Linked DNA regions of Saccharomyces cerevisiae S288C. Changing the gene in region 4 together with the main gene of any one other region gives a genetic interaction. Each region holds a gene or a part of one and is shown on either strand. Other genes may lie near its edges.

What was found.
Region 1: mutations in RIM9 (region 4) and AZF1 together harm fitness more than expected from each alone (negative genetic interaction), as found in Saccharomyces cerevisiae (2 studies listed by BioGRID).
Region 2: mutations in RIM9 (region 4) and HRI1 together harm fitness more than expected from each alone (negative genetic interaction), as found in Saccharomyces cerevisiae (2 studies listed by BioGRID).
Region 3: mutations in RIM9 (region 4) and SRP40 together harm fitness more than expected from each alone (negative genetic interaction), as found in Saccharomyces cerevisiae (2 studies listed by BioGRID).

Annotation. Positions count from the first base shown.
Region 1 is NC_001147.6:530,677-537,319, reverse strand, and holds AZF1 (Azf1p), read right to left. Parts: upstream 3,246-6,643; coding exon 501-3,245; downstream 1-500. Other genes in the region: COPI-interacting protein CEX1, read right to left, coding at 3,527-5,812; YOR111W (nucleotide diphosphatase), read right to left, coding at 6,193-6,643. UniProt on the Saccharomyces cerevisiae protein: Transcription factor involved in the diauxic shift. In the presence of glucose, activates carbon and energy metabolism genes, and in te presence of glycerol-lactate, activates genes needed for cell wall maintenance.
Region 2 is NC_001144.5:727,102-734,731, forward strand, and holds HRI1 (Hri1p), read left to right. Parts: upstream 1-3,723; coding exon 3,724-4,458; downstream 4,459-7,630. Other genes in the region: ECM38 (gamma-glutamyltransferase), read left to right, coding at 1-950; EXG1 (glucan 1,3-beta-glucosidase), read left to right, coding at 1,854-3,200; YLR302C (uncharacterized protein), read right to left, coding at 5,090-5,452; bifunctional cysteine synthase/O-acetylhomoserine aminocarboxypropyltransferase MET17, read left to right, coding at 5,441-6,775. UniProt on the Saccharomyces cerevisiae protein: Unknown. Non essential.
Region 3 is NC_001143.9:607,547-615,443, forward strand, and holds SRP40 (Srp40p), read right to left. Parts: upstream 6,340-7,897; coding exon 5,119-6,339; downstream 1-5,118. Other genes in the region: TGL4 (triacylglycerol lipase), read right to left, coding at 1-819; PXL1 (Pxl1p), read left to right, coding at 1,400-3,520; DNA-binding protein SRL3, read left to right, coding at 3,979-4,719. UniProt on the Saccharomyces cerevisiae protein: Not known; weak suppressor of a mutant of the subunit AC40 of DNA dependent RNA polymerase I and III.
Region 4 is NC_001145.3:393,660-401,192, reverse strand, and holds RIM9 (Rim9p), read right to left. Parts: upstream 4,117-7,533; coding exon 3,397-4,116; downstream 1-3,396. Other genes in the region: KAR5 (Kar5p), read right to left, coding at 1-1,491; AEP1 (Aep1p), read right to left, coding at 1,734-3,290; ARG7 (glutamate N-acetyltransferase), read left to right, coding at 4,814-6,139; cleavage polyadenylation factor subunit RNA14, read right to left, coding at 6,405-7,533. UniProt on the Saccharomyces cerevisiae protein: Required for the proteolytic cleavage of the transcriptional repressor RIM101 in response to alkaline ambient pH, which is necessary for sporulation and invasive growth.

The DNA.
Region 1 (6,643 bases), on a different chromosome or scaffold from region 4:
GTCATTGCGAAACACTTCACATGTTTCATTAAAGCACGAAACGCGAAAAAAAAAAAAAAATAAAAAAAACAAAAATAAAAACAAAAACAAAATGTGTTGAAAGTTAATATACCAATTGATAAATTGAAGCAAGGCCTGGGATGTTAATTGGAAGAAATTTTATCGTAAAAGAATATACAAGTTAAAAAATATAAACCCAAGGTACGTATACTTGGAATATTACACATTCATTATATACATATATATATATATATATATATATAATTAAAAAAACCGTCGATAGAAATTGAACCTTTAAAATAATAGAAAAAAAGAATACAAGATAAATAAAACCTCAAAAAAGTGAAAAAGAGCTAGAAAACCATGCAGTTCTTCAAGAAAAAGAAAAAAAGAAAGGAAAAGTGACACTTGTGGGTTAAGTTTGACGAATACCACTATGAAATCAGATACTACGGTGTAGAAACTCGAAAAAAAAAAAAAGGTAGTGCCTCTAAGGCCTGCTAGCTTTTGTAATTAATGTTCTTAAATCTCACTTGTTCTTGTTGAGATCTTTCATTATCATTAGATTGATCCAAGTTGAAACTGAAGTCATTATTGGTGGTTGGCGCCATTAATACACCCGGAGCTGCACCTACCGAAAAGTTGCTGTTATTATTGTTGGTATTGCTGGAACTACTACTTCCTAATCTAGAATGAGGAAGTGTGGTGTAATTGTAGTTTATGATTGGTTGGTTGGACGGATTCGAACTGTTCACAGAATTGTTAAAATTATTTTGGATAAATTGTGATTGCAACGTACCCATGTCTTTTTGCGTCGGCGAAATCATACTATGTGAGCCCGGATTGCTGTTACTACTGCTGTCAATGTTACCTTCAGGGTTGCCGTTATTTTCAGAATCATTAGCAATAGCATTATTTGCATTTGTATTTGGATTCAAAATTGTGCTCGCAGGATGGTTTTCTGGTGAGGAAATTGTTGATTTTTTGGTTCCTACACCTTTTCCTCTACCTTTAATTCCCCTGTTTGAATTTTTATAAATGGACGCAAAGTACTCCAAAAGTTGCCGCTCTTCAAGTGGAATATTCTCAGATGGATTCATCTCAGCTAATTTTGCCGTTAAGGCATTTAATGTTTCCTTATGAAATCTATTTTGATGGGCCTTCATATTTCCTAGTTGAGTGAAGGTCTTGTTGCAGTTTTCAAGCTTGCAAACAAATGGTTTCAATTTTTGGTGAGTAACCAAGTGAGCAGCTAAGTTCCCTTTCCTAGAAAATTTTTTATCACAAATATCACATGAATACGGTTTTTCACCTGTGTGTAGTCGTTCATGAGTTCTTAAGTTCCCACCCTGAGTAAAACGTTTGCCACAATAATCACAAACGAATGGTTTGTACCCTATATGAGAACGAACGTGAACCTCCAGATGAGTCGCTTGCGAAAAAAGCCGATGACAATAGGGACATTCATGTTTTTTAACTGCTCGTGTATTTTGTGTGCCTTTTGGTTTCTCCACACCACCTACTAGTTCGCTTTTAGGTGGTAAAATGTCCATCGTTTGGTTAAACAGTAAGTCTCCATCTTGAGTGGTATTTACTTTCTCCGTGAAACCTTTCTTTCTTGCTTGAATAATCAACATTAGTTGGTCGACCTTTGTTGCACCTATCAGGTTAGTAGCATCATCACTTACTGAACTTATGTCAGGTATAGGAGGTTCTTTACCAGAAAAGTTTGCCATTGCTGCTCCTTCAGCAGAAGTAGAATTGTCTTTACTCATCGGGGGATCAGTACGGGGCATCTCATTCTTGACGTACACAGTAGAATCATCCTTTTTCCTTTTCTTGATAATATTAGGTTGCATACCAGACTCGTCTATATGTTTGTTCAATCCCTCACTGCCTTCAATTACGTCGTTTTTATCCAATGGTCTTGATATAGCACTAGAGTAATTATCCTCATCATTCAAATGTTTTCGAAGTCTTTGTTCTATTTCTTTTAGATCTTTCCTACTATTGCTTGTGGTATCGGTAGAAGCAAGGCTATGGTCCTCTTGGTTTGGGATATTAGTACTGGTGGCGGAATTAATACTATTGTCGTTATTATCATTATTGTTGTCATTGTTGTTTTCATTGTTGTTGTTGTTGTTGTTGTTGTTATTGTTATTGCTACTGTCATTGCCATCATCATTGTCAACTTCATTACTTTTTCCTTTCATGTTATTGGTAACATTATCCGCGACAGGATCACCATTAGCTTTGTTGTTAACGGATAGTGAGTTTAATCTTGATTCAGGTATAAACGCATTTTGGCTGCTATGGTCCAAAGTACCTCTAACAAAAGAATTCCGCCTTTTGAATTGAAAATCGAAATCTTCAGGATTAAACTTCAAAGAATTATTTCTTGAACTCAAAAAGTACGGGTTCTGATTAGAATTACTGTTGTTTGTACCAGTATTAAAAAATGATTCATAATCTGCATTTGTGTTCATATTCCCACTATTATTGGTGCCATTGGACTGGCTTTTAGTAGTTGCTGCAGGTATTAACAGTGGAGGTCTCATAGAGTTTGATTCTCTTCTACTGCTAGGCTGGAACTGCGGTTGCTGTGACTGCTGCATACTGAAAAATTCAAAATCAGGCCCATCATTAGGTCCAAGATAAACAGAGTTTCTTTTTGAAGGTGGCTGCGAAGTATTATCATTTCTTGGTAAAAATTGATATTGAGAAGAACTTCCCGTTAATCCCGTCGAAAATGAAGGGGTCTTGAAGGGAGGCTGCTGGTGCGACTGCTGTTGTTGTTGTTGCTGCTGTTGCCGATGCTGATTTTGAAGCTGCTGTTGTTGTGGGAAGAGGTTGTTTACAATGGAAAAGCCGCGTCCGATTTGCGACAGGTCTGGCGGTTGATGTGTACTTGAAGTGGATAATCGTGGAAGATTGGAATAGGCGCCGCCAGAACTAGGTCCTCCTGTACTTGTTACTGGTACGTTATCAGATATGTTCAAGAATGAGTTGATAGAGGCGTCCGTGGAATATCGTGGCTGGTTGAAATTTGTATAATATGAAATCGACTCATTCCTTTGTTGTTGATGTTGCGGTTGAGAAGAAGCCGGTTGACTTTGATTAAGAATAGGAGTAGGGCCTTGCCCATGCTCCTGGTTTTGCTCCCCAGCTTCGCCTGATGATTGATTTTGGCTTTCATTTTGTCCCGCCTGCGTAGGGCCCATGAACTGTGCAGTTGGAGGAGGCATGGCTGGTAATTTTTCAATATCTGAATCTTTTGAAGTATATCGCTTGTGTAGCTGTTTTTGTCCCAATTAATTTCTCTGTGGGACCATCTATAGTACTACAAGGTTCCCTTTTCTGATGACTCTTCTTGCTTATGCTTCATTTCTACTGGAATTAAAGGGACCCTTCTTTTCCTCCACTTCTCAAAGAAGCGAAATCGCGGGGCACGGGCGTAATGTTTCTAAATAACGATTAACACTGAATATATCCTTCTACAATACGTAGGGCTATATAAGTCTTGGGATCACCAATTCGTATCCCAGGAGTCTGAATCCCCATCATCATCCCAGCCGTCAACATTTCCTTTCTTGGTTACCGAGCCGCGGATACTACTTATAGGCTTACTTCTTGCAGTTTTATTGGACAGTGACGATTTGGTGGTAACAGTAGAGTTACTAGCAATGTTTCTTGGTGCTAGGATCGTTGTTTTCTTCTTCTTGATAGAAAGCCTTGAGCTAGGAGCGATGGATTTTGCCAACGTTGAATTTTGTGGCCTTGTGTGTTTTTGAGGCACCTTTGATGGGCCGCTTTCATCTTGAATCCAGCCATCATCATTCAACTCATCATTCCAACTTTTATTAATTTTAATAGGTTTTCCGAATAATTTTGGGGTGCTTGCGGTTGTTACAGGGTTTGTTGTTTCATCGAAGGATTCTGTGGTACCATTTGTAATAAAGCCATCGGTATCGCTGAGGTCGTCCCATCCACTTCCATCCTGGGCGGAATCAATTTCGCTCTCGGTAATGTTACTTGGTGTTGTTGCTGAGGGAGAATTTAAACGTAAATTATTTAAAAATTGTGCGGCTAACAAATTGTCTTCTTTATTCATATCCTCTTCATCACAACCGTAATTCTCAAAATCAATATCTTTCACATCTTCCGAATCTGCAGTACTATCGTTTGTTTGAATAAGTTGGGCTTCTTTTTCCAATTTTTCCAGATATTCTTCGAACAGGATTTTGGCTCTGCCTCTTACTATGGGACTTTTATCTAATAAACCAGGGGCAATGACTGTTAAAATTTTGTTGGCGATTGTGTTCACATCAAACAGCTCAATCGACTTCTCAAGCCCATAAAGAGCAGCCAATCTTGGTTTTACTTGAGGATCTTTCAAAGATTTTGTGAACGCCGTAGCTAAAATATTCGAGCGATTACCAACTGACGTTGATAATATGGTTGAGATTTTACTTATTATGATGACTGTCCATGTTCGGATTTCAACGTCAGAATCAACCTGTGTTTTTGCGAGAAACCTCAGTAGCTCATTATTCAGTTGTCTCTCTGTTAAACATGACACAATGCATGGAATTGTCTTCAGTGTTTGTAATCTAAGAGTGGCATCAGAGTCGGTCAGACCTTGGATAAAATGTGGATATATCCTACTGGAGATCTCTGATTTGCTCAATGGACCTATTAATTTGGGTAGGTATATTAGTAAAAGAAATCTTACTTGCCTATCTGGCAGTTTAAAACTTTGGGTGATAAGGTCGTTGAAACCAACTGGAAAGGTGTTCGTTTCAGAAGTTAGGTCTAAAACAATCGCTAAGAATGGTACTAGTTTATGTGATGCGTTGAAGTTCATGCCTATAGGGCTGGCAGCACTACTGATGCTTTGTGTCATTAATAATTTTATAATTTCACAAAGCTCTGGAATAATAAAATTTTCTATCATTCCAGGCGTTAAATTACGGAAAATCTCTCTTGACTCTAAATACAAATTTTCCAAGTTTGACATCACAACCAATTTTCCCTGTGGGTCCTTTATATGCAACTCCCTCAATTCTTGATAAAAGTTTATCAAAGGATTAGAACGCCAAGTTTCTGTATTTTCTAGCCTTTTTCTGAAGTTTTCGATTGTTATCTTTCCATCTGAAATCATATTTACATTGACAATCCAATCTTTGGGCAGACAAGAAGGAGCCATAAGGCTCTTTATCAACAATCCTAACCCCATTGAATCAATTGTATTCGGATCTTCACAGGGCAACTGTGAGCCAATTATGTTGTAATATGACCTCGCTCTACTGGCAAATTCAAACGCACTTAATCCTTCTTTGCTTGAACAAAGTTCTAGCCCAAATAGTACCCACTCTCCCTTAATATTGATAAAAACAGAATCTTTAGAAAGCGTACCAAGGACAAAGTTTTTTAAAAATCCTAAAGTTGCCAATAATTGTGATATTCCTAATTCAACACCAAATTTGTTTTGAGATAAAGAGCCTAGATTATCCCAAGGAAATGGAACTACTCGTTCGGTAACAATAAATGTGGATTGGGGGTCGGAATCAAATGTCTCCAGCACCGTACAAAGTCCTGGAATCTTCAAAATTTTGCTCTTGTGTACAGCATTTAAAATTAAAGATTCATTTTCTGGAGATCTTTTTGCCTTAAAAACTGTTACTGGCAAGGAATCTGCCTTCCTTGTACCATCGAAACATTGCCAAAGGGCGGTTTCAGTGATTGCAGTTTCCTCTATGGTGTATGGGAACTGGAAATTCGAAATAGATTTGAAAATGCTGGAAAAATTCATCACTTACAGATACTTGTTCACCAATAAAAGCAACGATAGTAACAGTGTCAAACTCTCGACTAAATAACTTGACGATATTATTGTTTTTAAGATACTTATATTTAATATAATCATAATATAAACAGACAAAGAGAAAGGGCCTTTTTGAAGGTGAAAAAAATAGAAGATGTGCGCGAAAGCGTGAAATTCAAAATGCGTATTGCTTTAAACTTTCTTTACCATCAATCGAAAAACTGTCTCGTAGAATGTTAATAGCCGTGTTATTTAGCGCATGTATCTATTCACCAATGTGGCCTTTAATATCCGTTCCACTCATTCTTCTGGTGTTGCAAAGATTAACATAGTTAACTGAGCAACACCAAAGAAAACCTAAACGAAGGTTATATGGAATTAGCCTCAGCATAGAGTCCTTTGAACGTTTTATTGAGCGGTAAACCAACTACGTTATAGTAATCACCTTCAATTTTTTCAATTAGAATAGCACCTTGCCCTTGTATTTTAAATCCACCGCCAACCTCCAGCCCATCTCCGCTTTCTACATATTCTTCCAATATTCTCAAAGGTATTTTGTTATCAAAGTATACCTTGGTTTCATCTCGGAATGGTACCAATTCAAAGTTTTCTCTGCCGTACCATTTAATTAAAGTCACAGCGGTGACAACGTTAACTGGTTCATCATCTTCATAGCAAAACTTCATTAAAAACTTCTTTTGGACCTCTTTTGTTTTAGGCTTCTCGTAGATTCTCCCACTCTTATCTATAATAATTGTGTCTGCACATATGATAAGCTTAGGTTTATCAATTTCATTTGGGTTTTCATCTTCGTAATCT
Region 2 (7,630 bases), on a different chromosome or scaffold from region 4:
AAATTAGGAAGGGCGCCAATTTCATCCCTGATAACGATATGACCGTATTAACAAGTAGCGGCTCAAGTTCCGGGGCTGCACTACTTGCGGCGTTAAGGATAATGGATAATTTCCAGAATCAAGAAGGGGGCGATTATGAAAAAGAAACTACCTATCATTTGCTTGAAAGCATGAAATGGATGGCAAGCGCAAGAAGCAGGTTAGGCGATTTTGAAGGCGAAGCATTACCTAAGCATATAGAAGAGGTATTGGATCCAGAATGGGCTTTGAAAGCAGTGAAATCAATCAAAAGAAACTCTCAAGACGGAAATTTTAAAACTTTAGAAAACTGGACGCTTTATGATCCGGCATACGATATCAATAACCCGCATGGAACTGCCCACTTCAGTATAGTAGATTCACATGGGAATGCTGTTTCCTTGACAACCACCATCAACTTGTTGTTCGGTTCCTTAGTACACGACCCAAAAACCGGGGTGATCTTCAATAATGAAATGGACGATTTCGCTCAATTCAACAAATCTAATAGTTTTGAATTGGCACCCTCCATATACAACTTTCCCGAGCCCGGGAAAAGACCCCTATCATCCACTGCACCCACTATTGTGCTGTCAGAATTAGGCATCCCAGACCTCGTGGTCGGCGCTTCCGGCGGCTCAAGAATCACTACGAGTGTTTTACAAACAATTGTGAGGACGTACTGGTATAACATGCCTATATTGGAAACGATAGCCTATCCACGTATACACCACCAGTTACTGCCCGACCGCATAGAACTGGAAAGCTTCCCCATGATCGGTAAAGCCGTACTAAGCACTCTCAAGGAAATGGGATATACGATGAAAGAAGTATTTCCCAAGAGCGTAGTTAATGCTATACGCAATGTCAGGGGAGAATGGCATGCGGTGAGTGACTATTGGAGAAAAAGAGGAATCTCCTCCGTATACTAAGATGTGGGGTAAGAATGGTACTGTAATATAGTTCAAGATAATAGTACGTAATGTAGGGAGCCTGCTTCTGTGGTATATAAATAAATACTGGGCTTGCGTTTATTTTTAAAGAATCAATATTTACTTTTCATTAACAAAGGGCATACGCCCTTAAAACAAAACAAAAAATCCAGATCATGCGAGCTTTGCCTTTTTCAGTAAGTTTCCCTACCTTGCAGCCGAGACGCGACTTCGGAACGATGCCAGCATACGTATTTACCATTATTAAAAAAATCTGATGGCTTGATACTGCGCGTTTCTTTTTATAGCATTAATACGCACACATACGCGCATTGTTGTTTACTATAAATAAACCGTGGGGACCTGACCCAGTCATCCTCCCTGTGTTTACAGTGCGGTGCACACGAGCCTGAGACAAGCCCGTAACCAGGCGCGTTGCCGCAAATACAGAGGCGCCCCAGACAACACCGCAGTGTGAAGCACTGTCAATTTAAAACCGTGGCTTGCTGGAGATGCCCAGACCAACCCTGTTGGGTTTTTCTCTCGAGCACGCCGTTATAATTTTAGCGTGTTCCGTACCTGTGTGCACATCAATAAGCGGTGTAACAAACTTGAACTTGCCATCTCATATCGTCATATGAGCAGTTGCAGAGAAAGGCACTTTAAATAAAAAGGCGTGGATGATAAAAAATGTATATAAGTTGGATGGATTTTTGGGAAAAAGTAATGTTTTTGCAGACGTTTTAAATACTCCCTCCCTTTTCTTAGTAATTTTTATTATGTATTGACTAAGTCAAAAATAACTATAGAAAACTAAAGTTTACGAGAGGACCCAAAAGTTTTGAATAACACGTGCCTTTGATTTTTTGTTTACTTTCTTTTTCTAGTTAATTACCAACTAAAATGCTTTCGCTTAAAACGTTACTGTGTACGTTGTTGACTGTGTCATCAGTACTCGCTACCCCAGTCCCTGCAAGAGACCCTTCTTCCATTCAATTTGTTCATGAGGAGAACAAGAAAAGATACTACGATTATGACCACGGTTCCCTCGGAGAACCAATCCGTGGTGTCAACATTGGTGGTTGGTTACTTCTTGAACCATACATTACTCCATCTTTGTTCGAGGCTTTCCGTACAAATGATGACAACGACGAAGGAATTCCTGTCGACGAATATCACTTCTGTCAATATTTAGGTAAGGATTTGGCTAAAAGCCGTTTACAGAGCCATTGGTCTACTTTCTACCAAGAACAAGATTTCGCTAATATTGCTTCCCAAGGTTTCAACCTTGTCAGAATTCCTATCGGTTACTGGGCTTTCCAAACTTTGGACGATGATCCTTATGTTAGCGGCCTACAGGAATCTTACCTAGACCAAGCCATCGGTTGGGCTAGAAACAACAGCTTGAAAGTTTGGGTTGATTTGCATGGTGCCGCTGGTTCGCAGAACGGGTTTGATAACTCTGGTTTGAGAGATTCATACAAGTTTTTGGAAGACAGCAATTTGGCCGTTACTACAAATGTCTTGAACTACATATTGAAAAAATACTCTGCGGAGGAATACTTGGACACTGTTATTGGTATCGAATTGATTAATGAGCCATTGGGTCCTGTTCTAGACATGGATAAAATGAAGAATGACTACTTGGCACCTGCTTACGAATACTTGAGAAACAACATCAAGAGTGACCAAGTTATCATCATCCATGACGCTTTCCAACCATACAATTATTGGGATGACTTCATGACTGAAAACGATGGCTACTGGGGTGTCACTATCGACCATCATCACTACCAAGTCTTTGCTTCTGATCAATTGGAAAGATCCATTGATGAACATATTAAAGTAGCTTGTGAATGGGGTACCGGAGTTTTGAATGAATCCCACTGGACTGTTTGTGGTGAGTTTGCTGCCGCTTTGACTGATTGTACAAAATGGTTGAATAGTGTTGGCTTCGGCGCTAGATACGACGGTTCTTGGGTCAATGGTGACCAAACATCTTCTTACATTGGCTCTTGTGCTAACAACGATGATATAGCTTACTGGTCTGACGAAAGAAAGGAAAACACAAGACGTTATGTGGAGGCACAACTAGATGCCTTTGAAATGAGAGGGGGTTGGATTATCTGGTGTTACAAGACAGAATCTAGTTTGGAATGGGATGCTCAAAGATTGATGTTCAATGGTTTATTCCCTCAACCATTGACTGACAGAAAGTATCCAAACCAATGTGGCACAATTTCTAACTAAGTCGCCCTCAGTCCGCTCATTTTAGCTGAATTTTCTAATGTTATTTTTCATCAGCAAAACTTAACAGAACGTTAATTTATCTACCCCTTTTAGTTCATTATCTCTTTTTTATCCAACATTTTACAGAGATCTCTCACTTAAGTCTAAGTAAAGACATTATTTTATATGGTACACTTATAGAATATACGATAATAATAATAAAAACTATGTAACATAACCTTCAGAATTTAATATTAGTTTCCTTTTTACCTCATTGCACTAATAAAAAAATTCTACAGAATCTCCGAAAAAGAAAATCCAGCTTACTCTTTTTGTTTTCTTCTTCACACGTGAGCTTTTCCGCCGGCATACGTTCCGTTCCGTGTCGTCTTGCATAAAATTTCCGAATCACATGTTCGTAAAACAACCGGAAGTGCCCCGAATATAAAGTCAATTCTCACCGCTGTTGTAACTGGAGCTTTAAGGTGTTATCTAAGGAAGGATAAAAGAACTTAAACAACAACAAACAAAAAATTAAGTTACAATGCCAGCATTATTAAAAAGATTATTGTTTCAAGTGGGTCCTCATCCAAACGAAAGAACATTCACCTTATCCTCTGTTTCAACTGATGGGCACTATATTTCCTTGAGACCATTTGTTAAGCCAAGCGGTGATGAGTTATCTTTTCCTTTCGAATGGGCCTTTGCCGGTACAAACGAAACAGTTAAAGCTAATGATCAAGGAAACGGTGTCGTTACTCAAGATTTCAATTTCTGGTTGGATACAAATGTGTACTTGAACGTTCCAAACACCCATCGTGGCGAAGTGAACACCACTTGGAAAAATTGGGATTCTGGTTGTGTCGAGGAAACAGGCGCTGTTTACCCATTCGGTGCCGACAAAGAAAGCGTCTCTTTCAGAGAATTGTGGCAACCAGTTGACCCATCAAGAGAAGATCTAGTCATCGTCTCACCAAACAATGAGAAGTTCTCGTCGAATGCTAGGTCAATTGTCCTCAAAGTTACTGACGAAGCTTATGATGGTTTGGTTATTGTTATTGGTAGATGGATTCAAGGGTTTTTGTCCCAAAAGAATAATAACACTATTGAAGGCTTGAACTTCATCAGATTACTTGAAAAAGATTCAGGTAAATCTGAGTTCTTATTAAGCTACGGTAAGGAAGTAAACAAAATTCCACAAAGCTACGAAAATTTGAAGAAAGGTTCCACTGTAACCAGCAATGGGTTGAACTGGGAAGTTATTGAATATCACGCTTAATAAAGGAGAATAAATCGTTTTCTACTTTCTTCTGCTGCTATAATAAGCACCTATGGGATCTATATAGTATTTTTATAACGATAGACTTTATAAAAGAAAATACCTAAGTGAAAATTTGGTGAATTTTGAGATAATTGTTGGGATTCCATTTTTAATAAGGCAATAATATTAGGTATGTAGAATATACTAGAAGTTCTCCTCGAGGATTTAGGAATCCATAAAAGGGAATCTGCAATTCTACACAATTCTATAAATATTATTATCATCGTTTTATATGTTAATATTCATTGATCCTATTACATTATCAATCCTTGCGTTTCAGCTTCCACTAATTTAGATGACTATTTCTCATCATTTGCGTCATCTTCTAACACCGTATATGATAATATACTAGTAACGTAAATACTAGTTAGTAGATGATAGTTGATTTTTATTCCAACACTAAGAAATAATTTCGCCATTTCTTGAATGTATTTAAAGATATTTAATGCTATAATAGACATTTAAATCCAATTCTTCCAACATACAATGGGAGTTTGGCCGAGTGGTTTAAGGCGTCAGATTTAGGTGGATTTAACCTCTAAAATCTCTGATATCTTCGGATGCAAGGGTTCGAATCCCTTAGCTCTCATTATTTTTTGCTTTTTCTCTTGAGGTCACATGATCGCAAAATGGCAAATGGCACGTGAAGCTGTCGATATTGGGGAACTGTGGTGGTTGGCAAATGACTAATTAAGTTAGTCAAGGCGCCATCCTCATGAAAACTGTGTAACATAATAACCGAAGTGTCGAAAAGGTGGCACCTTGTCCAATTGAACACGCTCGATGAAAAAAATAAGATATATATAAGGTTAAGTAAAGCGTCTGTTAGAAAGGAAGTTTTTCCTTTTTCTTGCTCTCTTGTCTTTTCATCTACTATTTCCTTCGTGTAATACAGGGTCGTCAGATACATAGATACAATTCTATTACCCCCATCCATACAATGCCATCTCATTTCGATACTGTTCAACTACACGCCGGCCAAGAGAACCCTGGTGACAATGCTCACAGATCCAGAGCTGTACCAATTTACGCCACCACTTCTTATGTTTTCGAAAACTCTAAGCATGGTTCGCAATTGTTTGGTCTAGAAGTTCCAGGTTACGTCTATTCCCGTTTCCAAAACCCAACCAGTAATGTTTTGGAAGAAAGAATTGCTGCTTTAGAAGGTGGTGCTGCTGCTTTGGCTGTTTCCTCCGGTCAAGCCGCTCAAACCCTTGCCATCCAAGGTTTGGCACACACTGGTGACAACATCGTTTCCACTTCTTACTTATACGGTGGTACTTATAACCAGTTCAAAATCTCGTTCAAAAGATTTGGTATCGAGGCTAGATTTGTTGAAGGTGACAATCCAGAAGAATTCGAAAAGGTCTTTGATGAAAGAACCAAGGCTGTTTATTTGGAAACCATTGGTAATCCAAAGTACAATGTTCCGGATTTTGAAAAAATTGTTGCAATTGCTCACAAACACGGTATTCCAGTTGTCGTTGACAACACATTTGGTGCCGGTGGTTACTTCTGTCAGCCAATTAAATACGGTGCTGATATTGTAACACATTCTGCTACCAAATGGATTGGTGGTCATGGTACTACTATCGGTGGTATTATTGTTGACTCTGGTAAGTTCCCATGGAAGGACTACCCAGAAAAGTTCCCTCAATTCTCTCAACCTGCCGAAGGATATCACGGTACTATCTACAATGAAGCCTACGGTAACTTGGCATACATCGTTCATGTTAGAACTGAACTATTAAGAGATTTGGGTCCATTGATGAACCCATTTGCCTCTTTCTTGCTACTACAAGGTGTTGAAACATTATCTTTGAGAGCTGAAAGACACGGTGAAAATGCATTGAAGTTAGCCAAATGGTTAGAACAATCCCCATACGTATCTTGGGTTTCATACCCTGGTTTAGCATCTCATTCTCATCATGAAAATGCTAAGAAGTATCTATCTAACGGTTTCGGTGGTGTCTTATCTTTCGGTGTAAAAGACTTACCAAATGCCGACAAGGAAACTGACCCATTCAAACTTTCTGGTGCTCAAGTTGTTGACAATTTAAAGCTTGCCTCTAACTTGGCCAATGTTGGTGATGCCAAGACCTTAGTCATTGCTCCATACTTCACTACCCACAAACAATTAAATGACAAAGAAAAGTTGGCATCTGGTGTTACCAAGGACTTAATTCGTGTCTCTGTTGGTATCGAATTTATTGATGACATTATTGCAGACTTCCAGCAATCTTTTGAAACTGTTTTCGCTGGCCAAAAACCATGAGTGTGCGTAATGAGTTGTAAAATTATGTATAAACCTACTTTCTCTCACAAGTACTATACTTTTATAAAACGAACTTTATTGAAATGAATATCCTTTTTTTCCCTTGTTACATGTCGTGACTCGTACTTTGAACCTAAATTGTTCTAACATCAAAGAACAGTGTTAATTCGCAGTCGAGAAGAAAAATATGGTGAACAAGACTCATCTACTTCATGAGACTACTTTACGCCTCCTATAAAGCTGTCACACTGGATAAATTTATTGTAGGACCAAGTTACAAAAGAGGATGATGGAGGTTTCTTTACAATAAAGAAGCACATGTGTGTTAACGTTTTTAGTATTTGCTTGTTATGTAAATCAGGAAAACTTCGCGGGATTTGGTTGGATGCTACTTTCCATACAATAAATATTATAGATCTAAAAAGCCAAATTACAAGTAAAGATTAGTAAAGCTGTTGGAATTCCATCGTTGATAAAAATGTTAGTTATTAAATATAAAAGTCAGAATAGGTGAACTTGGATTTAATTGTTGGCATTTCGTTGCTGCTAGAGGCCATAATATTAGATAGCCAGGACATACTAGTTCTCCTCGTGGTATAGGAATCCATAAAATGGAATTGGTGATTCTATGTGATATATTCACATTCTTACTACATTATCAATCCTTGCACTTCAGCTTCCTCTAACCTCGATGACATCTTCTCATAACTTATGTCATCATCTAACGCCGTCTATTATAATATATTGATAGTATAAGTATTAGTTGATAGACAATAGTGGATTTTTATTCCAACAGTGTCTTTGTTCGTCTCAGATATAGTCGGATTGCCCTTTTAAGCAATCAATAGTGTTTTA
Region 3 (7,897 bases), on a different chromosome or scaffold from region 4:
CGTTTGTTGCAGTATACCCAAAAGGTAACTATCATCAAGATCAGACTCCATTAAAGATTCTAGCGCTAACCTAGACTCCATCATATACTCGTCAATTAAATATTTGGTGCCTACATGGGAGTGCCTATATAGGTTTACATTCCCCATATTTCCCAGGTTTCGTACCCAATTCGTCCTAATGATGTACAACAATTGAGCGTAATTCCTATTCAAGCGCTCCTCACGCATTCTAGATGTTAAATCTTTTATTAGCTTGTAATCATACAAGGGACTTTCCAATTTCTGCTTCCATTCTGTTTTCCCAGTGAGGTCATCCAATCTGGCGCCCGCAGAACACCATTCTTCAAATGACATCGCATGTTGCTTTTGTGAACAGACTTTGTCAATAAGAATGTCTCTTTCATAGTTTCCCACAAAAACGTTGTAAAGAAATGATTTGCATTTACTGGCTAAAGATGACCCTTGCCTTTCATCTTCGCCTTCGTCTGTCTCAACCATCTCGATATCATTATTTTCATTTTCTGTTACTGTCTCTTGGTCATCGTCAAGTTTATCCTCGTTTCCAGTATCCAGGTTGAAATTTACTTTGTTCGTAGTTTTGTTCTTGCCAGTTTGCAGTCTTTTACCAGCATCCTCCTCCACCCTTTCAACATCTGAATTATCCTTACTGGGCCTAATAAACTTGTTCTTCGGATTTAAAATAGGAATTATGTTCTGGGAAGTGCCCAGGATCTGTTCGTAATATTTTTCGATTAGTTGTTGCGTAACAAGGAGGGGCTTATTTTGTGTAGATGTAAGATCTGATATTTTGCTGCTCATTCAGACTTTTATTACATATACCTGTACTCCCTTCAATAATTATTACAGCGCTAATTTTTTTGATCAAATACTTGAATACAGGCCTCTTTTACGAGTACAATAATGACATAATGACAATTTGAATCAACCATACTTTATAATTGTGGTTTAGCGTTTCATAGTCGCAATTATCGTATAAGAGGGGTAATATGTCAGCCCTAGTTTACCCTACTTTTTTTAAACCCCTTAAGATCTTTTTTCCTTTTTTCTAATATTTAACCTACTAATATTGGTAAGTAAACCTAATGACTTTTTGAAGCGCCTAGCCCTATTTCTTTCGAAATTTTCAATTCGCGTCCTTTTTCAATTCCATGAATAATAGGAAACATGAAAAAATAAGTAAATAATAATAATAGAAAAGCTGGAGTGTTGCAAATTTAAGAGGTAGCCTTAAAATATATTTCTGCTGTGTTGAATATTTAATTTATACAGCTAGAATAGGATATTATAGCCGAATTTTTTTCAAGCTTCTTCAAAGCTTATAGTGAATAACGTAAGGGGAAAAACAAGAATAAATTTAGCAAAAGAAACGCTCAAGTCAATGTATAACTCAATCTACGGGTCCCCCTTCCCTAAAATAAATCCGAAGGTCCGCTACAAAACTGCTCTAGAAAGAGCAGGGTTTGACACTAAGCCGCGTAATCCGTTCAGTAGTCAGAGGAATGCTTCCACTGGAAGTTTACAAGCTTCCGTGAAGTCGCCGCCAATAACCCGTCAAAGAAATGTATCTGCCGCCCCATCTGTTCCGGTCACGATGAAGAGTGCGTATACGGCGTCTTCAAAGAGTGCTTATTCATCTGTAAAGGGCGAGTCTGACATTTATCCGCCTCCCGTATTGGAGAATAGCGAGAGGCGGAGTGTAACTCCTCCAAAGAATAGCAATTTTACGTCTTCGAGACCCAGTGACATATCTCGTTCTATTTCCAGGCCCAGCGAGCGTGCTTCGCAAGAGGATCCCTTCCGTTTTGAACGCGACTTAGACCGTCAGGCGGAACAATATGCTGCCTCTAGGCATACATGTAAATCACCTGCTAACAAGGAATTCCAAGCCGCAGATAACTTCCCCTTCAACTTCGAACAAGAAGATGCTGGTAATACTGAAAGGGAACAAGATTTGAGCCCTATTGAAAGAAGTTTCATGATGCTGACTCAAAATGACACTGCAAGCGTTGTAAATTCTATGAACCAAACCGATAACAGAGGTGTGCTCGACCAAAAACTCGGAAAAGAACAGCAAAAAGAGGAAAGTTCAATCGAATATGAAAGTGAAGGACAGCAGGAGGATGAGAATGATATTGAAAGCCTAAATTTTGAACCAGATCCTAAACTACAGATGAATCTTGAAAATGAACCACTTCAAGATGATTTTCCAGAAGCAAAACAAGAGGAAAAGAATACAGAACCTAAAATTCCGGAAATTAATGTTACGAGGGAAAGTAATACACCATCTTTAACCATGAACGCACTAGACTCTAAAATATATCCTGATGATAACTTTTCTGGCCTGGAATCTTCAAAGGAACAGAAATCACCTGGTGTGTCATCATCGTCAACAAAAGTTGAAGATTTAAGTCTTGATGGGTTAAATGAGAAACGTCTTTCAATAACTTCTTCAGAAAACGTGGAAACACCATACACTGCTACGAACCTCCAAGTCGAACAATTGATTGCTCAATTAGACGATGTTTCCCTATCTAGAAATGCAAAGCTCGATATGAACGGCAATTGCCTCAACGCAGTGGACAGAAAGGCTTCTAGATTCAAAAAGTCAAGCGCATATTTATCTGGGTATCCCAGCATGGATATACCCGTAACGCAGCAAACATCAATTGTGCAAAACAGCAATACGAACTTATCCAGACAAACTATTCTGGTAGATAAAGGCGATGTCGATGAAGACGCGCCATCTGAATCTACAACTAATGGTGGCACACCCATTTTTTACAAGTTTAAACAGTCGAACGTAGAATACTCCAATAATGAAGGGATGGGTTCGCAAGAAACTTTCAGAACGAAACTTCCCACAATTGAAGCACTACAACTGCAGCATAAGCGCAACATAACAGATCTGAGAGAAGAAATTGATAATTCCAAATCTAATGACTCTCATGTATTACCTAACGGCGGCACTACGAGATACAGCTCTGATGCAGATTATAAAGAAACGGAGCCCATTGAGTTTAAATATCCGCCTGGGGAGGGACCTTGCAGAGCATGCGGCTTGGAAGTCACAGGGAAAAGAATGTTTTCCAAAAAGGAAAACGAACTGTCGGGTCAATGGCATCGTGAATGTTTTAAATGCATTGAATGTGGTATCAAATTCAATAAACATGTTCCCTGTTATATTCTAGGCGATGAACCATATTGTCAAAAGCACTATCACGAGGAGAATCACAGTATTTGTAAGGTTTGTTCAAATTTCATAGAGGGTGAATGTCTGGAAAATGATAAGGTGGAACGATTCCACGTGGATTGTCTAAACTGTTTCTTATGCAAGACTGCCATTACTAATGATTATTATATATTCAATGGGGAAATTCCATTGTGCGGTAATCACGACATGGAAGCTCTCTTGAAGGAAGGTATCGACAATGCTACATCAAGCAATGATAAGAACAATACTCTCTCTAAAAGGAGAACGAGGCTCATCAACTTCAACTAGCATCACTACCCATTTGTCTTTCCTAGCACACATGTTTCATAACATTCTTAATAAGATTTTGATTTTTTATATTATTAGCCAGCCTTGTTCATTTATAAATTGTATAGCGCAGGAAAAAGGCATCTGCCTATCTATGGTATCAACAACATTAGTCGTCATTAGTTAGTTAGTTATAAAGACATCATTCACTCATATTCACTACGTTGTCTTCTTCTCAACAACTACCTCTAACTGTTTTTTTACGCGTCATTTAATTGTAGCGAATTTCTATTTTTGGACATTCTCGTACCGGTGCATTAAAGGCTAAAAGCTAAAAAGGGAACAGGAGCCTAAGAATAGAGAATAAGGAAATTTATTTAAGGAAAGGCTAAGCAATGAAATGTTTCGTTATTTTATTGTATTTTCAAGAGGATGGAAGAAGAACCTGAGCACAAACGGATAAATAATAGACGAATATAATGTTTCTTAAGACACCTAATTGGGAAACGGTAAATGAGACTCCCAAATCGAGAGTCTTAACGATAAACGAATTGATCTCTCCCAACCTGGATACTGAATCTAACAGCCTTCTGGCGACGCCGGCAAGGAAATATTTCAAAACTTCAATAAGTGAAGCGCAAGATTCTCCTACATCTGCCCCTTCGCCCGATGGCAATGAGGATCCCACATATCAATACAACGTACAATTTCATTTTCCAGGACCAATAACACCTACAACACCCAGGTCTAAGAATGCAGAAATGTTTCCATCCCCCACGCCCCCATTGGTTTCTCCCACAGCGGTTATCGAGGAAGAGAATGACGATTCCGTACGGGAGTTTTCACGCACGCTAAAATCAAGACTCAACTGCGCAATGGTTAAGCTATCAAAGGAACATGAGCAAGTAGCTTTGATTCCTCCACCTCCGACGGAAAAGATACGAAAGGGCTCTTATAGTAATAAATTTGCCGCTAAGCATAGGCGCTGTCACTCGTTAGATGAATCCAAAAAGTTTCTGAGTTCTCTGGAAGATTCATCCGCTCATGCAGCGTTCTTGAAGGCAATTTCGTCCAAACATGCCAAAAGCAATAGGGTAGACAACGTTAACGTTTCGCCGTTACGTTGGTCATCTCATAGAAGAACGCAAAGTACACAGGAGAATTCTTTACAAGAAGTTGTTGCTATCGATACATTATTGAAGATGTCCTCATCGGACTGAACTAATGATTCGGGTTTCGCATATATACATGGCTTTGGCTACTTTTAGGTTTATAGTTCTTGCTGTTTATATCACTAATATTTAGTATATAGCTGCGAAGAAAGAAAAAGAAAATATTCACCTCTAGGAGCCAAAAACATAAAAAAAAAAATAATTAAAAAAAACTTTTATTGAATGCTTAATTATTTAGTGACGCGATTACCTATATACCAGGTTATTTATTTTTTCTTTTTTCAAAGGAAAACAATACAAAATATTACTGTTACCATTTTTGTTACTATTATTATTGTCTTTATTACTATTATTTTTCTATCGTTGCTATAATTACAATTTGTTTACTCTACAACTTAAAAGGAGATTACTCCAGACAACGAGTTTTGTTTTATGTTTCCTATTCTTTTAATCTTGGAATTTGTATGAACCACTTTCTAATGTAATGGATCCACCTCTGTAAGAACCTCTCTTCATTTTATTTTTGTTCTTCGTGAAATCTTTACCTCTTACTCTACCTAATTTTTCATTTGCCTTTTCACCCCATGTTCCAGCCGCGCCTTTGTAGGTGTTGTCTGTCAACTCCCAAGCTTCGAAATTAATCTTCGATCTATCTACTCTGGAAAAATGCTTTCTTTGGCCCTCTTTGATCTCGTCGGTTCCAGCAGGAATGTTCAATTTATTGGCGCTTGATGAACTGGAAGCAGATGGAGTTGATTCGTTAGATGAGGCAGGCGTTTCTTCGGCCTTGGATTCGTCTGCAGTTGCTTCTTTTGTTTCCAATTCAGAGCTAGAACCAGAGTCTGAGTCGGAATCCGAATCGGAGGAATCAGAAGATGTAGATTCGTCGGAACTTGAATCAGACGAGCTTGAAGAATCGGACGAGCCTGAAGAGTCTGAGTCCGAGCTTGAGTCGGAATCCGAATCTGAATCCGAGGAAGAGCTGCTAGAGCTGGAGCTAGAGTCGGAGTCAGATGAAGAGTCGCTGGAGCTGGAGTCGGAGTCAGACGAAGAGTCGCTAGAGCTGGAGCTAGAACTTGATTGAGAATCTGATTCAGAATCTGATTCGGAATCAGAAGAACTACTTGAGCTAGAACTTGAGTCAGAATCAGATTCCGAACCTGATTCTGATTCTGAAGATGACGATGACCCGCTAGAGCTTGACTCCGATGAGGAAGAGCTTTCTGGTTCAGTTTTAGCCTTTTTAGTCTCCTTAGCATCTTCGTTGTCTGATTCTCTTGCTCTTTTCTTGGTTTCATCTTCTGATTCGGATTCCGAAGAAGATTCGTCAGAACTAGAGCTAGAGGAAGAAGAAGATCCACTGGAGCTAGAGTCGGATTCACTAGAAGATTCAGAGTCACTGGAACTTGAGCTTGAGCTAGAAGAAGAAGATGATGATGAGCTAGATTCAGAGTCACTGCTGTCACTGCTGTCACTGCTGCTGCTGCTGCTGCTGCTGCTGCTGCTGCTTGAAGATTCGCCGCTAGAACTGGACGAGGAAGATGAAGAAGAAGAGGAGGAGGAGGAGGAGGAGGAGGAGGAAGAAGAAGAAGAAGATTTCTCTTCAATCTCCTTCTCCTTAACACTTAATTTTGGCACTTCGTCAACTTTAATTTTCTTGGAAGCCATTGCTATGTATTCTTAGTGTACTGCGACTTGGGTTTCTTTCTTGCTTTGTATAAAAGTGCGATGAGTTCAATCATCAAGTGAATTTTTTTTTTTCAGCCTGCATTGAAAAAAAAAAAATTGTATGCTCGAGCGATGGGAAGGTTTTTTCCTCTTCCCGTTCAAAGCTTCCTCGGACCAACTCCACTTTTTCTCGGCCCGTTGTAAAGAAATGGGTAAGAGAACTAAATTGCAATAAGCTTCGAATTATCGTTTTGATCCAGACATAAAGAGATGTACAAACTACAAAACAAGAGTAAAATAACTCGAACGAAGGGTACACCTTCTGTAATAAAACAAATTCACTATAACTGCCTTATTGGAGTGAAAAAACAAGATTATGTAGACCCCCTCTCGCGATAAAGAACATTAATGACTGCAACACCCGCACACCACAAGGTGAAGGGCAAAGGTGAATTAACCAAAGTGAAGAGGACGACGTAGAATCAACCAGGTATCCTTGATAAGGGGAGGAGTAAGAAAAAAGTGTGTCGAACGTAAATTTATGTGTCTAATGAAAGTATCTTCACACTAAGATTATAATTCTCCTTGGCAAAACAAAATGACACCTTTGTCCTGTTTTCGTTATCTACTTTTTTTTGTGTCAGATGTCATTTTGGTCTCCTACGCATCCACTACATCCTTGTCACAATTTGTTATCAGTAACCAACTTAGATGACTTGCACCAGCGCCACATCTTCGAAAGCGTTGAAACAAACTACGTAAACAAACAAAAAGTCAACATCCTGTAGATGTGGCTGCAAAACCACAGAATCCTCGTGTGGGAGAAAATATTGATAGGACCAGAGCGAACTTTTTTGATACAGACGTAGGAGGTAGCCGTTACCGCATTAGTATACTATATGCGTACGGCCGCCAAGAGCCCAAGAAAGAGACACAAAACTACGTGGGATAAGCTTGGGGTAACGCAATCAGTATTGTTCATTTTTTTTCCCGGAAAAGCTAAGAGTTTTCTGGCGAGATAAGATAACGGCGCCGAAGGCAGCGGCGAACTGACTTACCTCCGTCGGCTCCGGCGTACGGCACCAAAAAATCCCGCAATAACTTGACACCAATGGGCTAACGGCGTCCGCAGAACCGTGACGCAATCTGCGGTTTGTGTCAAGACAGAGAAGTGGGCTGCTTCTCCCCTTTCAACACTCCCCTCCCATGGCTGAATACTCAGACGTTTTCTGTGGTGGAAATGGCATCAAAAGTGCCACTGGCTGGCGAATCCAGACTATTTTGTGTCAAAGAAACATGCGTACCTGCACAATAAAAAGAAAAGGCCCGCCCTACTGACATCCTGTTCAGGATCCTCGAAGAACAGGAAAAAGGACAACCGTCCTTTTCACTTCACGTTCGCAGGGCTTTCCTCGATATAATGGCGATTACACAAGCGGTGGCGTCTTGAAAAAAGTTGGGTTTCTTATCTGTACGGCGATCACTCCCCTCATATGATAGCTGTGTAGAGTGACTTGCTCTTTGATTGGCCTTACTTCTTGCATCTATCATCCTTTCT
Region 4 (7,533 bases):
CTTAGCTCCTAGATAAATTGAAAGTAGAAGAGCTGCCCATTGGTAATAGCGTTTAATAGGAATCATTTTGACGTTTACTCGAGACGTACGGTATTTTGACCAAATCCACACAACGGAGCACAGTAACCAGTAGTATTTATTCTTGACTGCAAGGTACCCACATCTTATAATCATTTTACTAGTTTTCCACATAAAATCCAATACCCTCATCATTGTCATGACATTTTTATGGACAAGTGAGACTCTGATTTCAATGTCGTCTAATTTTTTTTTTGTGCCATTCAGTTTCTCTGAAATATCATTAAAAGTTGAAAAAATCTCCTCATTCCATAAAGCAAAATCTCCATTTAGTGTAGATGTTATAGCTGTCCATTCTTGTAGTAAGGTATTTTTGAAGTTCGTCATCTCAGGTACTATCTCATCCGTCATGGATGGTAACAATGAATCATGAAGGATGGAATTGAACCCTTGCAAGAGCTCTATAGCTTCCATTTGTGATTCAGAAAGATCCTTTGACATGCCTCCTAACTGTTTTTTTAAACCCATCGAGAAGTTTTCCAACTCGGTATTAACTAACTTGTTATTTCTAGAGTAATATTCTTTTACGTCGTTGGACATTTCCACTAGGTCCTGTAAATTATTCAGGCTGTCGTCCTTCAAGTCATTTATCTTAGATTTTATGTCATTTTTAGCAAGCTCATCGGCTAGATCGCTCATAATATGATGGACGGTATCAACTTCATTCATTAGTTGACTGTTCTTCTCTATGATTTGGACCTCTAGTTGTTCGGAAGTTTCATAGAGTACATCATTCACTTTATTTCTAAAAAATGAGAGGTCGTTTTCTAAGATTATTCGATTGCTTTCGGTCGCATTTCGCAGTTCATTGTCATAGTTGCGGAACATCCTGGCCAGATCGTCCAAAAAATTTTGAGAATCTTGCTCCATTTGAAACATCAGATGATTTAACTTAGTATCGACATCATCCCCAAATGAATCATAAAGTTCAGTGATATTTAGAAAAAGTTTCAGTATCTGTTCTTTTTCAAAAGGAAGAAGATTTTCATAACAAATACTCGATAGTCGCTGATAATTTCCACTATAAGTTGTCCACCACTGTGAAGATGATTCTAGTTCAAACATACAATCCATCATTGATCCTAGGTCGTCAACCATGCAATTTTCTGGTATTTCGCCCAAGCCAGATGCCTGAAACTCGCATATTGAAAGTTTAATGGCCGTTTCTACCCTTGTTTCAGCGTCAATGGATTCAAGTCCATTTGCAATACATTGTGGCAAAAATAATTTTAGTGCGTCTTTAACACATGTTGATTTCAAGAATGGAAATTTGGATTCTAATACATTTGTCGCAACGGAATTATCTGTGTATATCAATCTTCCTTGCAGCAGATTGTTGATTTTTCCTAGTTCGGAGCTTGAAACAAACTTAATACAAATTGCAAACAAATAGACGTAGCGCATTTCAAACATTCAAAGTTTTTGAATAGAAACAGTTGTTGAACCAGAATATGTATACTTCATTGGTATTCCGAACCAGTGTTTATATATAGAAAATTTGTTCAGGATTAATCCCAAACAATTATGATAAAACAACCCGCTAGTGTGACACAGTTACAGTACGTATTCTTATTTACATTGTTTATTTGCGTGGAATGCGCAATTCCCTTTGCAGTGAGTTGCTCTTATGCTGCCTTTTTTTTAATATAGACGATTTATGGGCGTAAAGCTTCTCGTTCAGTGCAATTCAAATATTTCTCGATGAAGTACTTTTTAAATTCCTTATTATAACCTACAGCGCCCGTATTCTTAAGCGCGTGATTTCTCTCACTATTTTTGAGAGCCCTAATAATTTGTAGTTGGTATTTATGACTTAGTTTGATCTTATATGTATCTATCATATGAGCCATCATAGTGTAATTTCCTTGAAGTGCAAAAGACAGTATAAATTTCTCCACGAATTCGCTGGGCACGTTTTGTCCATATATTGGGCTCACTATATTGAAAACAGTGGATAGATTTCCGGAGTTGATCATTGGATCTTTAGTAAATGTTAATACTTTTTTGATAAAAATAGGTAAGGTGCTATCCACAGCCCGTTTTGCGTTATTGGATTTTCGAATAATATTTAGCAGAGAACACAATTCGTCGAAATGCCGGCACATAGGTATCAAAAATTTGAACAGGTCTATTGTTCCATAATTTTCTATTATGGGTGCAAGATCTGCTATGAATGCAAATTTGGATCTTATATCAAAAATCTTAGTGCTTTTATCGAAATGAACATCAATTGCCTCCAAATATCTATTAATGATAGTAGCCTCTGGTAAAATACCCTTTTTTATTAAATGGCCCAAAAAATTTTTGCTTTCATTCAAATTGCCGGTTTTAATGAAATATGATAATAGTTGTTCAATTACTATTGGGTGCAATGAATTTTCGCAACGCCCTGGAAAAAATCTGTTGTTGATCGCTGCCAATAGGTTTTCTAGTGCGGTAACCAATGTGGGACTGTACGGTGGGTTTTCATTTGCTTCCACTTTACAAAGGATATTATATAAAATAATGTTCATGGCCTTCATTTGGTCTAAACGTGAATATAATTGCATCTCAGTAACATTTATTAGTAGTATAAGTTTTTCAGTCGAGTTTCCATAATTCTTTATCAAATAAGCCAGTATATTCTCGCAAAATAATCTTGTCTGTTTACTGTCGCGGTCAAAAATATTCTGTAGTTCATTATTTACGGACTCGACCCTGGATTGCAAATCATTCGTGTTTTCAATCTCTGATAATATATTTTCAAGACCTCTTAATTTGGCAATATCGGTTGAAGACAAATGCAGAACGTGAAAAGATCTAACGCTTTTGCTCGCAGGTGTAAGTACAATATTTCTTTGATGTTGTCGTCTTGCAACGAATTCCATCAACCATTTATTCACTCCCCTAATATCATCAAACTTTAATTTGCTATCAACTAGTATGGTTTTTAGGCTCACCGGGTGTTTTATCAGTGATGGAGCAATTTTTTTGCCATCAAGCAGGCTAGGATTGTATTCCGTAGCGCATGCCGTGAATTGTTCTATTGCTGTTGGTTGGTAAAATGGGTGAATTATTTCTTCCGGATGAGGAACTTTATCGGCATGTTTAATGATCTTTCGACCGTCCGCTACTAAAGGAGTCTTTTTAAGTACTGGGTACCATTTGCGAGATTGCATCCTAATGAAGCACAGGTTTCTCCATTTGCTGATTTCTTGCACTGTAGTAATCATTTTCTAAGACCCTTAACAGATAGTGATGGAGGAAGAAAAAAATGTACAAATATTTGGAAGCCGATTGGCAAACCGATGTAACGTGCAAAATGACACATGATGTTACTTATTCAATGAACCCTCTATATGTCACTTCTGGAGCAATCAGACTATCTGTATGTGTTGGAGCCACTTCATATTCTGAGCTATTGCCGTTCTGTTTACTCTGGTAAATGTCGGAAATTGAGTACTGTTCCATTGAGCACGCATGCGCAATTGACTGTTGCGATTCATATTTTTTGACTGACACAACTCTTCTCATGACCCACAGCATGGAACAACAAAGTGCTACGCTAATAGTAGCGGCTAGCATTAGCCAGCCGGGCCAGTCCAGTTTGGAGATGAACAGAAGAATATCTACCAAAAAACATAAAAGACATAGCATGAACGTTGGCAGCGAAAAAAGGGCCGTGAACAATAACATCTCAGGTGAGTCCCCTAGTGGAGTTACCATGATAATCACTGCTAAAATTAATAGCGTTCCTGTGAATGCCAGTGAAATCGGGTGAACCACTAATAAATTGGAGACGACCACTTTTGAGTTCGATGGCAGGGTCAAAACGTGCCCGGAGGAGTCGACATCTGTACTGTCATATCCTATCTTCATTTTCGTGCACATCAATTCTTGGTTTTGACCACGTACACACCAGCCAAACAGGCCATAATAGTGGTTTCTGAATGACGATAACGATAGGTACTTGGTCACGGGGACGGTTATTAGCGGAAGTATTTCGAACATGGTTGTGATTGCTAGCAAAAACACCACAATATGGATCATGCTAACCATTCTCCTCTTTTCCTCAATGAATCTGTCTCAACCGTATAAATCTTTGTTTAGAAGGACGTCTCTACTCATTTCCCGGTTCTCAACGCTCATCACTATCTATCTATATTCATTGTTTCTTAGCTTATACTTGCGCGCGCCGCTGGTGAAAATCAAACTATAGCGAGATTCGACAATAAATTGGCAGTTACTTTTAGTGATAAAGAAAAGTCATGTTTTGTATATAGTCATAGCATGCTGTGTTGTAAATGTGATCTGTCTGAGACGTGTCAGTAGATCATAAATTTACAAACATTAAAATACATTTTTCATCGCTGTATAGCAAAAGTAATCTTATACTTTGTTGGTATGCTGAAGTAAAACACAGGGCTCTTGGCTTCACCCCCACGCTGTATCATAGAATAAAGAGAGTAGTGATGCAATAGGGCCGTGGTTAGACCCAAATTGAAGGTAGCGTTGATAGTAGTACTAAGTGAGAGTGCTTAGCAATCATTATTGACGGTGTTTTCTTGGCGAAGGTCTTTTTCTACTGCGATGGACAGGTAGGATGACTCACTGCGTAATTCGTTGCCAACTTCTTTAGTCGTCGAGTATATAAAAGCCTCATCCTCGGCTCGCCGCACAAAGGTGACGATTTTTGGGCTAGTATCAGCAATACTTCTATTCCCTTTATTTAAAGAAGTCCAAAATTCAACATAGCATGAGAATATCATCAACATTGCTTCAACGCTCGAAGCAGCTTATAGATAAGTATGCATTATACGTGCCCAAGACGGGCTCTTTTCCTAAAGGATTTGAAGTAGGCTACACTGCATCTGGAGTCAAAAAAAACGGGAGCCTGGACCTGGGTGTAATCTTGAATACCAATAAATCTCGTCCTTCAACCGCAGCAGCTGTTTTCACGACCAATAAATTCAAAGCTGCGCCAGTTTTGACATCGAAAAAAGTCCTTGAAACTGCTCGTGGTAAAAACATCAACGCTATTGTAGTCAATTCCGGTTGTGCTAACTCGGTCACAGGTGATCTTGGTATGAAAGATGCCCAAGTAATGATTGATTTGGTTAACGATAAAATTGGTCAAAAAAATTCTACCCTAGTCATGTCTACAGGCGTTATTGGACAACGACTACAGATGGACAAGATCAGCACTGGTATCAATAAAATTTTTGGAGAAGAAAAGTTCGGCAGTGATTTTAACTCTTGGTTGAACGTAGCCAAATCAATCTGTACTACTGATACTTTCCCAAAATTAGTTACATCTAGATTCAAATTACCTAGTGGTACTGAGTATACTTTGACAGGTATGGCAAAGGGCGCGGGTATGATTTGTCCGAATATGGCTACCTTATTAGGTTTCATAGTTACAGATCTTCCTATTGAAAGCAAGGCGTTGCAGAAGATGCTGACTTTCGCTACTACCCGTTCATTTAATTGTATATCGGTGGACGGTGATATGAGCACCAATGACACAATTTGCATGTTGGCCAACGGTGCTATTGACACCAAAGAAATTAACGAAGACTCTAAAGATTTTGAACAAGTAAAATTGCAGGTCACAGAATTTGCTCAGCGCTTGGCCCAGTTAGTCGTTCGCGATGGTGAAGGTTCGACAAAGTTTGTTACTGTTAACGTTAAAAATGCTTTGCATTTTGAAGACGCCAAAATAATTGCTGAATCAATCTCAAACTCTATGTTGGTCAAAACCGCACTATATGGGCAAGATGCCAATTGGGGAAGAATATTGTGCGCGATCGGGTATGCAAAGCTGAATGACTTAAAATCTCTAGATGTCAACAAAATTAATGTTAGCTTTATTGCTACCGACAATTCAGAACCTCGTGAGCTGAAGCTTGTCGCTAATGGTGTGCCACAATTGGAGATCGATGAAACAAGGGCTTCTGAAATATTGGCTTTGAATGATTTGGAAGTGTCTGTCGACTTGGGAACCGGTGATCAGGCAGCACAATTTTGGACTTGTGATTTATCACATGAATATGTAACAATTAACGGTGATTACCGTTCATAAATTCATGTATATTTTGTTCAATCTTTCTTTTATAAGCATGGTTATATAAACGCACAGAAACAGAGTGTTTCCTGTACCTTCTGAATGAGTTTGGCTATTGCCATATTTTTGAAAGAATTAACTATTTCCGTTTTTATTTATGTACGAGGCACCTTAACTATCCTGTCACATCGTTTTTTTTTTACTTAATTACATACAGAGGTTCGCCTATTATAATAGATGTGTTGGTATAAATATTCATATATACCTATTTATTAACGTAATGTTAACCTGACTTGGTGCTCTCAACTGTTGGAATCTCTACTTGATCATTTAAAAAATTCACCAATTTCTGCGCATCGAGTAAATTTGTATTAAAATATTGACGTTTTGGTATAACGCTCAATAAATCAAGAACCTCTGTTGGAAGCTCTGAGTCTCTTTTGAATTTCTTATTGGAGAAGTTTCCATTGTTTCCAGTTTCCTCCATTAGTCTCTTTCTATCTGACGAACTCATATTGTAAGAGCCATGATGGCCATCCCCGTTTCCAGAAGAAAAGTAACTGTCTTCTTCCTCATTATACATATAAGTTAACTCTAATTTCTTTATTAAGTTGGAGTTTTGAATTTGATAACGACTTGTGAAAACTTCAATCAAATTTTCTTGGGGGAACCGTTCGAAAAATCTTTTCTCTAGAGAATAAACGTTGTTTAAGTTACCGAATTTCGATTCATAACTTATCATTTTCTTGTATATTTCCTTCAGCTGGGTTAAATCTTGCACTTTTTCCACTGATGTTTCAAATAAGGTTTTGATCTGCGAATCCTTATTTAAAAATATTAAAAAATCTAAGTATTTGTTGATATAAACTCCATCGTTTTGGAAGTATTTTAAACCCAATTCTAAAACCTTAAAAGCAGTCTTATAATCGTTTTGATTTTGAAATTCTAAATATGCATTTTCCACGTAGACGTCATGTGTTAATATACGCTTCAGTTTACGACATTTACCAAATACAGTACGTGCTGCGGATAGTCCTGATATTCTTTTCATCGTATTCATATACACGCAAAACACGAATGTTAATTTTTCCCTCTGTTTGTATAGCAGCTCTTGTTCATACTCTGTGTTATTATCTTCACCCGAATTTACATCGGAGGCGATCTTTTTATACTGCGATAGTAAAGTTTGAGTGCACTTGTCAAAACAGTTAGAAACACTTTCAGAATCATTATCCAGTTCGTAGCATTCGGATAACTTGAATGTAAGAGAAGGTGAGTCGGGATTAGCTAATAACGCAGTATATAAGATATTTTGTCGATCCGAATTTTCAGATATATACATTGAATAATCGTACCACATTTCAGCAGAAAATATCATGTATTGAATACCTTGTTTATAAACGTAACTGATT